Macaca fascicularis: one gene and its partners. The protein of the gene in region 1 purifies or fractionates together with the protein of each later gene. This does not show direct contact. Links are inferred from orthologs where the notes say so. Each region holds a gene or a part of one and is shown on either strand. Other genes may lie near its edges. The genes, in order: DDX17, HDAC1 and HDAC2.

Region 1 (3,749 bases):
GCTGGGGTCTTCTCCGGACCTTCTGAGGAGCGCCGTTTAACGGCAGCAAAGTGCCCACGGAGTCCACTGGGGCTCCAACCAATTTTTTTTTTTTTTTTGAGACATGGTCTCGCCCCGTCTCCAGGCTGGAGTGCAGTGGCAGGATCTCGGCTCACTGCGACCTCCGACTCCCAGGTTCAAGCGATTCTCCTGCCTCAGCCTCCCAAGTATCTGGGACTACAGGCGCCCGCCACCATGCCCTGCTAATTTTTGTATTTTTCGTAGAGACAGGGTTGTGCCATTTTGGCCAGGCTGGTCTCGAACTCCGGACCTCAGGTGATCCTCCCGCCTCGGCCTCCCAAAGTGCTGGTATTACAAGCGTGAGCCACCGTGCCCGGCCTCCAAGCACATTTTGTTTCTGTATTAGCAACAGCTGTGCTCGGCCAGAGACGGTGAAAATACACGGTTCAGAAAATGCACCTCGGTGTGAACCAAGTGTAGCTGAGGACCCTTTAACCTGGAGCGGACATCGCCACCTCATAAACTCCCGAAAGAAAGGGACACGGCGCATCCATCATGGCTGCCGGAGACAGAACAGCGAGAGGCAACGGAAAGGAAATGGCGCCGGGGCCCGCCGCCATTCTCAGCGGGCCGAGGGCTGCGGGGCGAGAGGGCTGCCGGCCCCATGTAGGAAGGCCAGCCAGGGAACTTAAGACCCTCCCGACTTCTGGCACCAGGAGGCCCTGAAACTTGATAACAATATGGAGGACGGTTATTGTCTCTGCAAAGCAACTTCCACAAGCCGGCCGCGGGGTCTGTCCCGAGATCGGAATCAGGCAAAATCCTCTATTCTCTAAACAGAATGCGTTACGCATACTGCGCATCTTCGCAACAGCGGGCCGGCTAACGACGCAAAGAATGTTACGTCGCACCAGAGGCGCTTCCTCCCACCGCACCCCACGTTCTAGTTCAGGTGGCGCGAGAACTCTACGCTCGCTCCGTACTTTGTTTTTCTTGTACAGACCGCAAAATACGCCGATCGTCGCAACTGACGTAAAGCGCTTCCAAGAATACCCGTAGTTCCCCGCGGAGCCCTCGGGCTATTCCGAGACGCTGTTTACGTATCGTCTCCGGCGTACGTAGCGTTAAGTTGGAGCCGACTCAGCTGCGGCCGCCATTTTGTGCAGTCGCTGGGAAGGAAGGAGACGCCTAAACCGCGGCACTGCCCGGTTTGAGCGTAGCCAAACCTGCCCGCCGGCTTTGTAGCCCCGATTCTCTGTGTTTTGCTCCCGTCTCCGACGAGAGAGGCGGCGACGGTGGCGTCTGCGACGGGAGACAGCGCGTCGGAGCGAGAGAGCGCTGCGCCTGCCGCCGCCCCAACAGCGGAGGCGCCGCCGCCATCGGTCGTCACCAGACCGGAGCCGCAGGCCCTCCCGAGCCCGGCCATCCGTGCCCCGCTCCCAGATCTCTATCCTTTTGGGACCATGCGCGGAGGAGGCTTTGGGGACCGGGACCGGGATCGTGACCGTGGAGGGTAAGGGTGGGGGAGGAGAGGAGAGGCCTGGCGTGGGGGTGGGGGTGGGGGAGTTGCTTTCTGGGGAGGCCCAGCGGACTGCGGGCCTGGGAGTCCTGCTCCTGACCCCGGGAGGCGAGGCGACTCGAGGCCAGACAGCGGTTTCGTGCGCGGGCCTCGGCTCCAGGGTCACTCGGGACCCAAGGAGGGCGGCGGCTTGGCGACGCTGGGCCTCTCTTTGCGAAAGGCAGTCGTGGCGCGGCCCGGCCTCGTCTCAGCCCCGCGGGGGATCGGGAGGGGCGGCCTGGCCGCAGCAGCCCCGGCCCGGGCTTAGGCGCCTCGCCTGGCGTCCCGGCTCTCGGGCCTGGCCGCTTGGAGCGGGCCGTTTGATGTCTTCAGGCCTCGGCGTTCATCTGGAAAAACACGGATCTTCCTAAGAGAAGACTTCAGCCCAGGAAAGCTTTACACGAAATGGCAGCCTTGACGTTCTCTCCCCAGAGTTCACTGTTTAAGACACGAGACGAAAAGACCAGCTTCTCATTTTTAAAAATAGGTTTTAATCCTCTTCAGTCGTATTTTAAGTCGAAGGAAATGCATTGGGATGTAAAGCAATGGAGTTGCTTGCCATCTAAATGACCGTGTTTGGGGGAAGGATTTTTTTTGGGTCGTTAATTTAGTTTTAATATTTCGGCGTTTTTTCTCTAATTGGACTGCAGCATCAACTATTCTGCCTCGCTAGAAAGTTCTTGGTATTGTGGGCCGGGCGCAGGCCTCAGGCCCGTAATCCCAACACCTTGGGAGGCCGAGGCGGGCGGATCACCAGAGGTCGGGAGTTCGAGACCAGCCTGGCCAACATGGAGAAACCCTGTCTCTACTGAAAATACAAAATTAACCTGGCTTGGTGGCGCATGTCTGTAATCCCAGCTGCTCGGGAGGCTGAGGCACGAGAATCGCTTGAACTCGGGAGGCAGAGGTTGCAGTGAGTGGAGATAGCGCCACTGCACTCCAGCCTGGGCAGCAGAGCGAAACTCCGATTGCCCGCTCCCTGCTTCCAAAAAGAGTAAAGTGACGCCACTTTATATGTGTGTGTGACCTTGGTCAAGATCCGTAACTTTTGTGAGCTTGTTTCCTTTGAGGAAGGTGATAATAATTGCATTTACTTTGGTGTGTTGTCAGGAATTAAGAGATAATGGATGTAATAGTCTCGCTGTAGTAGGCACTCTATTAACCGTACTTTCCCCAAACGTTTTGTCTTTCGTGGTTCAGATGCACAACTACTGGATTTACTAGTCACAAGCACTTCAGTTACCAGTTTTTACAAAATTATTTTGATTTATACCTTATTAGGAAGGAAAATATTTGATCTCATTGTTTAAAGGACGAGAGATGGAATGTTTGCTTGTGTTTGACAGTATTGCTGAGTTTAGAAGTGAATTTCAGTACAACCACTTAGAAAAAGAATTTAAGATTATCTAGAAAAATTGAAAACAGCCCAGTAATTCCTCCCTAAGCTTTACACCCTAGACTGTAATGCCTAGAGAAATCCTTGCACACGTGCCTCAGGATCCTTGTACAGAAAAGTTTATATACCAGCATTCCTGCTAACAGGATATTGGAAATAACTCAAATGTCTCCATAAATTGTGGGTATTCGTGCAATTGAATACAATTTAATCAGCTGTGAAAAAGAGAAAAGAACTTGGATTAATGTGGATAAGTCACAGACATGTTGAGTTAAAAAGCAAGTTGTGGTAGGGTGACACATTTAAGGATATGTGCAAATATGACAGGAAAGGGAATGGTTAACAAAATTCAAGGTAGTGGTTATTAGGGTGAAAGTTGTAAACTTGAAATAGGCACATAAAGGGGATACAAGGTACTAATAGTGTTCTGTTTCTTTACCATGGCTGTTTGGTTTAGTATTTCCTTTCACCATATATATGCTTTAATAAGTTATTTGAAAGGAAAAAAGTGAATTACTGATCCATACTTTAACTCTTTGTATCAGATGACATTTTTTAAAAATTTCAAACGAACTGGCCTTCTTTCATAAGATCTTTGTCACAACTCTCCCTTTCCCAAGAAATGTTCTTGATTATTTGAATTGCTGTTTTACTCTTAAATGTATGCTACACAGTTGAAGTGGTGGTTACTTTGAAAAAGGAATAGGTGAGGTCAGTTCATGTGTTTCACGTGTGTGATGCAAAAATGATATGCATTGTACATGTGATGGTTTTTAATGTTTAATATATGAATGT
Region 2 (3,733 bases), on another chromosome or scaffold:
GGAAAATCTGCTCTCCTATCATAGGATAATCCCATTTCTTCCTGTCTAAAGAGACTCCTACTTAAGTCATCCTGGGTGACTGCTTCAGGGAGGTAGGTTTTGGAGTCAGAAAGGCTGGGTTCTGTCACTTTGTTACAGTGCCTCTGGTGCAAAGAAGGCATTCAAAAAACCCTGTACAGTTGAAAAATTGAATTTAATTACTTTGTGTAACTTTGAGTAATTCACAGAAATCTGAACTTCTTTATCCTGTCCTGTAAAATGGAGGTAAAAAGCCCTTGGCCGAGAGGTGTTTTGAGGAAAAACTGAAATAACATTGGTAAACTGTCGCACAGTACTTGGCACACAGCAGCCCCTCGACAAACAGCTTTCTTTCCCTTTCTTGTCAGTTTCTTCCTCTCAAAACCAGCGTGTTGCTTTTCTTTTTAATTTAATTATTTTTCTGTAGCCCTCCTTTGCGATCACAAACTCGCTTTCTAACCCAGGTTCAGCCCTTTTATTGGCTGAGTGACCTTGTGCAAGTCACTTTTCCCCTGTAGGCCTCGGTTTATTCTCCGTAAAATCAGAAAGTTGGCCTCCGATCTCCAAGCACGCTTTTCACGACCAAGTGGGACTGTTAAGTTTACGGAGCTGCTTTCCTCCCCCGGGACTGATGGTACGGTCCCCGGGCGGCTCCCCACCCATCTGTCGCAGACCTTGGTACAGGCCCAGGGGGCCCTCGGCGGCCTCTCCGGGCTGCCCTTGCCCCCTGCCGAGTTCCGGGCCCGTGTCTGCGCAAGCTGATTGGCTGGAGCGGTGCCCGGGCTGCGCGGCTATAGGTGAGCTCAGGAGGAGACGGGCGGGGCGGGCCGGAGACCCGCCCCCTCCCCCCTGGGTCGGACGCTGAGCTGAGCCGCGGGCGGGAGGGCGGACGGACCGACTGACGGTAGGGACGGGAGGCGAGCAAGATGGCGCAGACGCAGGGCACCCGGAGGAAAGTCTGTTACTACTACGACGGTGAGCACTGTCCTCGCGGCGGGGGCGGGGCCGGGCCGGGCCGAACCGGGGACCTGGAGGCTGAGGCTGGAGCGCCGATGGGAGGCTGCGGGAGGCTGAGGCGCTGGGGAGAGGCTCGGAGAGGAGGCTGCGAGGGGGAAGTCGAGGCTGAGGGAGGAGGCTGTGAGGAAAGGAGATCGAGGCTGAGATCGAGGGGATCGCGTGGGGGAACCCTGAGGTAATCTTGGTGGGAAGATTCTGAGGAAGTCTGATGTGGAGAGTTTGATGTGGAGAGTTTGAGTGGGACTCCTAGAGGGGAGGGTGCGTCCGAGGAGGGAGGCTGAATCTGATGGAGACGGCTGCAAGGATACATTTTCTTGCCGAGAACCCAAAGCTCTTCCCTGCCCCGTCTCTTCCTCATCTTTTCTGGGAGAAGAGCCCTGCACGACTGGTCGCCCGCCTCCCCTCCCCCAGCCTCTGAGCGGGGCCTGCGGTTGCTACTGCGACGTGGGGCGCCAGGGGTTGCAAGGAGAAGGATGCAACCTGTTAAAACAGGCTTCTCACTTAATCTCTCAAGCAGGTTACTGTGTTCGAGGAAGTGTTGAGGGGCTGGGGCGGTGGGAATGATCGGGTCCCAGTGACCGAAGTTCTCTCCGTGTCAGAGCTCAGAGTGTTAGAGGAGCACAGAGAATAGGCACCGAACTCCACCTGAGGAGTCAGCGAAGGAGGGGACGTCTCAGGACCTGAAGAACAGGAGTTCTTAGCCAGGCAAAGGGAAGGCAAAGATAACAGCAAGTTTCAGAGGCAAGAGAGAGGACAGCACCTTTGAAAAACAGGCATTTGACCGGGCGCGGTGGCTCACGCCTGTAATCCGAGCGCTTTGGGAGGCCAGGGCAGGCGGATCACTTGAGGTCAGGAGTTCGAGACCAGCCTGGCCAACATGGCAAAACCCTGTCTCTACAAAAATATAAAAAGTAGCTGGGCGTGGTGGCGCGCGCCTGTAATTCCAGCTACTTGGGAGGCTGAGGCAGGAGAATCCCTTGAACTTGGGAGGTGGAGGTTGCAGTGAGATGAGATCAGGCCACTGGATTCCAGCCTGGGTGACAGAGCAAGACTCTGTCTCAAAAAAAAAAAAAAAAGGGAAGAAAGAAAAGCAGGCATTTGTTTTTTTTTTTTTTTTTTTTTTTTTTTTTTTTTTTTTTTGAGACGGAGTCTCGCTCTGTCGCCCAGGCTGGAGTGCAGTGGCGCGATCTCGGCTCACTGCAAGCTCCGCCTCCCGGGTTCACGCCATTCTCCTGCCTCAGCCTCCCGAGTAGCTGGGACTACAGGCGCCCACAACCGCGCCCGGCTAATTTTTTGTATTTTTAGTAGAGACGGGGTTTCACCGTGGTCTCGATCTCCTGACCTTGTGATCCGCCCGCCTCGGCCTCCCAAAGTGCTGGGATTACAGGCGTGAGCCACCGCGCCCGGCCAAAGGCATTTGTAACAGTATGGCTGAGACATAGATTTGGGGGCCTATTGTAGAAGGTGGGGACCCGGGGCGAGGGAAGTGTTGCAAATAATGTGGTTGCTGAAGTAAATGGAGACCGACCAGGTGAGGTGGCTCACACCTGTAATCCCAGCACTTTGGGAGGCCAAGGCTGGTGGATCATCTGAGGTCAGGAGTTCGAGACCAGCCTGGCCAACATGGCGAAACCCCGTCTCTACTAAAAATACAAAATTAGCCGGGCATGGTGTCGCGCACCTGTAATCCCAGCTACTCTGGAGCCTGAGGCAGGAGAATCCCTTAGAACCCGGGAGGTGGAGGTTGCAGTGAGCCAAGATCATACCACTGCACTCCAGCTTGGACAACGGAGTGAGGCTATGTCTTAAAAAAAAAAAAATGTAAACAGGGACCAGACCATGAAGGGCTGGGCATGCTGTCCCAAGGAAGTTGGACTTTATTGAGGGCACTTGTGAATGATTCAAGTTTTATGCAGGTTAGTGACATCATCAGGTTTATACCTTAGAAATTAAAGTCATGGGCTGGGCACGGTGGCTCACACCTGTACTCCCAGCACTTTGGGAGGCTGAGGAGGGCAGATCACGAAGTCAGGAGATCGAGACCATCCTGGCTAACTTGTGAAACCCCGTCTCTACTAAAAATACAAAAAAATTAGCCGAGCGTGGTGGCGGGCGCCTATAATCCCAGCTACTTGGGAGGCTGAGGCAGGAGAATGGTGTGGATGCGGGAGGTGGAGCTTGCAGTGAGTGGAGATCATGCCACTGCACTCTATCCTGGGCGACAGAGGGAGACTCCGTCTCAAAAAAAAAAAAAAGAGAAAGAAATTAAAGTCATGGGGTCCAGGTGCAGTGGCTCACGCCTGTAATCCCAGTACTTTGGGAGGCCGAGGCAGGAGATCACTCGAGGCCAGGAGTTCAAGACCAGCCTGGCCAACGTGGTGAAACCCCGTCTCTACTAAAAATACAAAAATTACCTGGGCGTAGTGGCACGCACCTGTAATCCCAGCTACTCAGGAGGCTGAGGCAGGAGAATCACTTGAACCTGGGAGGCAGAGGTTGCAGTGAGCCAAGATTGCGCCACCGCACTCTAGCCTGGGCAACAGGGTGAGACTCGATCTCAAAAAAATAAAAAAATTAGCCAGGTGTGGTGGCACATGCCTGTAGTCCCAGCTACTCAGGAGGCTGAGGCATAAGAATTGTTTGAACCTGGGAGGCGGAGGTTGCAGTGAGCTGAGTTCTCACCACTGCACTCCATCCT
Region 3 (3,649 bases), on another chromosome or scaffold:
TGGTGCACAGCTTTCCTTGCTTATCTAACACATGAGCCACTCAGAAACTTTACCTTGATCACAGCCTCATTTCTGTTTTTTAAATTTTGTGAAGAAATTTTGCTATACTATTATACGCTCTTTATATTCTTATGAGAATAGTCTCATGAGTGCTTAGTCTGGAAATATCAATTTACATTGTATTGTTTTATTTAGCACAGCTATGGCATCATTACATAATAAATACAATGCTTTGCCATCTAATAACAAAATCTCACTTCATTGTACTTCAGAAGGATGACATGAGAAGTCCATTTTCCCTTTATTTTGACATGAGTATACACTGGTAACAAAATGTCATGATATGGTGATTCATGTGGCTCCTAAACTGTGTTTGAGTTACAACTGTGTCATTGTTATCTGTGGTGTTCCAAGCACCAGTTTGAAATGATGAGAGTACCACATGTAGCCTCTGTCACAGCTAACCAATTCTGAAGTTCAAATGGAGCCATGGGTAATAAACAATTGAGCATGGCCATCTTTCAGTAAAACTTTTTCTATGGACACTGAAATTTGAATTTTTTAATTGTCACATGTCAGAAAATACTCTTGTTTCGGTTTTGTTTTTAAACCATTTAAAAAATATAAAAACTATTCTTAGTTCAAAGCTGAAAAAAGAGGCAATTGGCCAAATTTGGGCCATGGGCTATAGTTAGCCAATCCCTATTTTATAATATTGAAGATTTATTACAGAGGTGTTTTAATTAAAGTAACAATCTTGAGTATGGTATAATCTTCAGTTTTTCATATATTAGAAACATGTGCTATGTTTTTGAAGCATGTAGAATGGAACAAATTTCACAAAGAGTAAATATGTATTTTTTAACCTACGTAGGGCCATAAGTGGGTATTTAAAGGCCTAAGGCTCAAACCTCAGATATTTGAATAGCCTTTTAGGCCGAATTTAAAAGGTGATTAAACATCCTGGAATGTTAGAACTCAAAAATAGGTTTCCTGAATTTGTGGTGCTTCTTCCCATCTTATAACCTTTAAAGAAAAAAACAAAAACTTATGGATTTGCTTTCAGGTATCATCAGAGAGTCTTATATATTGATATAGATATTCATCATGGTGATGGTGTTGAAGAAGCTTTTTATACAACAGATCGTGTAATGACGGTATCATTCCATAAATATGGGGAATACTTTCCTGGCACAGGAGACTTGAGGGTAAGACTAAATTCTGTCTTAATAAATACTGTGAGACGAACCTAGGAGATCAGTAACCTTATACTTGAAGTAGAATTTTTCCTGAGTTAATAATTTGAAACTTGTATGCAGAATTCAATTACTTCATATGCAGTAACATTTGCTAAAATTCACTGTTGCTAACTAAGCAAAAATTTAGTGAGAACTTAAGGACTGTTTTTTTTTTTTTTTTTCTCAGCTGTTTTCTTTGGTTGAATAAATATTTTTGAATATCCACAAAGCACGAAGCCCTTCTCTTGATGTTCAGTTTGAATCTTCAAAACTACCTGATGGTAGCCTATGTTGCTATTGATTATAAGGATCGGTGGAATAAAATAGACTAGGTCTTTTTAGGTTCTTCTGCTCCTCTCTTTTGTGATTGGTCTTGACTTTTAGTAGGTCTAATTTTAATCTTTTTTTTTTCCTTAAACTTCTAAAGTTGGTAATGTATTTACGTAGAGAAAGAATAGTGTAGCCCTGCCTGCCTGTTACATTAAGTGTATTTCTATTTTATTTCTGTTATCTTTTTCCATTTGATGCTCTTGTCTTTTATGACTGTGAAAACCACTGGTCAAATCCTATTTCTGTAAGCTCATTGAAGGTTTTTTGCCTCACCACACTTTTTTTGAACCTAACTACACACATGTTGAAATTTATTCAATAATTTAAACAGCTGTTTTTAGTTCAGCCTGGATTATATGGGAGATTTGTCTTATATGGCATTGAACAAAGTTCTAAACTATTTTATTAAGGTTATTTTTCACGTCTATGGTATGTTGTTACAGTTTAGCAACCAGAATTTAAAGAGTTGCCATAAAGTATTCTTAAGCTGTATGGCTTTTCTTTGTTAGACCACAATGTGATCCTTTCTCAGTAAACTCTTTGAGTAAAAGAGTTACCTTAGTAAAACTTTTCCATACTTACAAATGGGTGGGAGGTCAAATGTTTGGTTTGAGTTTAAATTATTTAGCTTTTAAAATTGCAGATTTGTAATTTCAGTTCCTTGCCAGTAAACTCCTTCAATTTATCCTTTTCTCCACCTGGTCATACAGACTAGTGGTTCTCAAACAGTGGACCCTAAACTGAGGAGAAAGCAGACCAGCATCACCTGGGAACTTGTTAGAAATACACATTCTTAGGGCCCAGAAACTGGGTGATTTGAGAATCACTGCTGTAAACCGATAGAATATATTTGTCAGCAACCATTACATCCTAGTGGAAGTCAAGCAAAAGTCTTCTCTGTTTTAAGCTTAAAGAATAAGACAGTATCTTTGCAGTATGATCCTAGTTTATCTCAGAAGTGGAAAATGGAAGCCTCATGTAATTTCTGACAGGTGAATGTCGCTATGGTCTCTTCTCAGTTATTATTCATAATTCTTACAGTTTGAAGTTTTTGAAAATATTAGAGAATGCATGTTTTAGAAGGATTTGAGACTGGGTTTCAACATCTTTTTCTTAAGATTTTACAGTCGCTGTATTAAATGATGTTTTAAGGATAACATTTGAATATTTTAAGCATGTCCACATAATTTTGTGAGAGAATTAAAATCAGTCGTTACATTATACGTACTGCTGTATTTGGACTTTCTGTGTAACTCACATGTATCTTTGGATGTTAATTTAATAAACACTCGCTTTTTCTGCCTGCTAATTCATTCTAATGCTGAAAAGAAGGCTACGCTGAGCTTAGCTCATTGTTGAAACTCTGTTTGCTTTAATTCGAGTAGTCAGTGGAAGAAAGAAAGGTGGCGTAGTAGCAGTTGCAGAATGAGACCTGGAAAAGATAAAGCTTAGTCTAACAAGGGCAGCAGCTCTGAGTTGCCAGCTAGTTAGTGGCAGTTAGGATGAGAAGTGCTGACCAACTTTTCTGCATTCTGAAATCTTAGAGTCAAAATATATTTCGTCTGTGTTTTAACTGTGCAGTAGGAGTGTAAGGATTCACTATACTTTGTCTTTTCCATATTTGTATGGCTTATATTTAGTTACTAAATCTTAATAAAAATTTAGACTGCAAGAAAAATTGGGAGAGGAGGTGTGTAATTTTGCTTGCTTTCCCCTCGTTGGATGATGGGTCTCATAACTCTAATATTGAGGGTAAATTTTGCTTTTGTGAAATTGAACTGAAGCTAAGACCATTCCATGAGAGGTTCAGGAAGAACTTGCACAAGTGCTAGTAATCCTAAAAATTCATGGATCTTCAGACATTATAATTTAACACACATAAGAATTAGGCACCCCACACCCCAGCCAGGCACGGTGGCTCGTGCCTGTGATCCCAGCACTTTGGAAGGCTGAGTCAAGTGGATTACCTGAGGTCAGGAGTTCGAGACCAGCCTGACCAATATGGTGAAACCCTGTCTCTACTAAATACAAAAAAGAATTAGGTGGACGTGGTGGCATGCACCTGTAGTCCCAGCAACTTG

What was found.
Region 2: the proteins of DDX17 (region 1) and HDAC1 purify together in Homo sapiens (affinity purification with western blotting; 3 studies listed by BioGRID and IntAct, with this or other methods). This does not show direct contact. The link is inferred for Macaca fascicularis from reciprocal best matches to the Homo sapiens genes DDX17 and HDAC1.
Region 3: the proteins of DDX17 (region 1) and HDAC2 purify together in Homo sapiens (affinity purification with western blotting; 3 studies listed by BioGRID, with this or other methods). This does not show direct contact. The link is inferred for Macaca fascicularis from reciprocal best matches to the Homo sapiens genes DDX17 and HDAC2.

What each region holds. Positions count from the first base shown.
Region 1 is NC_088384.1:13,144,543-13,148,291, forward strand, and holds the start of DDX17 (probable ATP-dependent RNA helicase DDX17), read left to right. Parts: upstream 1-1,152; 5' UTR 1,153-1,463; coding exon 1,464-1,513; intron 1,514-3,749. UniProt on the Homo sapiens protein: As an RNA helicase, unwinds RNA and alters RNA structures through ATP binding and hydrolysis.
Region 2 is NC_088375.1:202,730,341-202,734,073, reverse strand, and holds the start of HDAC1 (histone deacetylase 1), read left to right. Parts: upstream 1-847; 5' UTR 848-944; coding exon 945-993; intron 994-1,016; exon of another isoform or gene 1,017-1,210; intron 1,211-3,733. UniProt on the Homo sapiens protein: Histone deacetylase that catalyzes the deacetylation of lysine residues on the N-terminal part of the core histones (H2A, H2B, H3 and H4).
Region 3 is NC_088378.1:17,991,594-17,995,242, reverse strand, and holds part of HDAC2 (histone deacetylase 2), read left to right. Parts: intron 1-1,066; coding exon 1,067-1,208; intron 1,209-3,649. UniProt on the Homo sapiens protein: Histone deacetylase that catalyzes the deacetylation of lysine residues on the N-terminal part of the core histones (H2A, H2B, H3 and H4).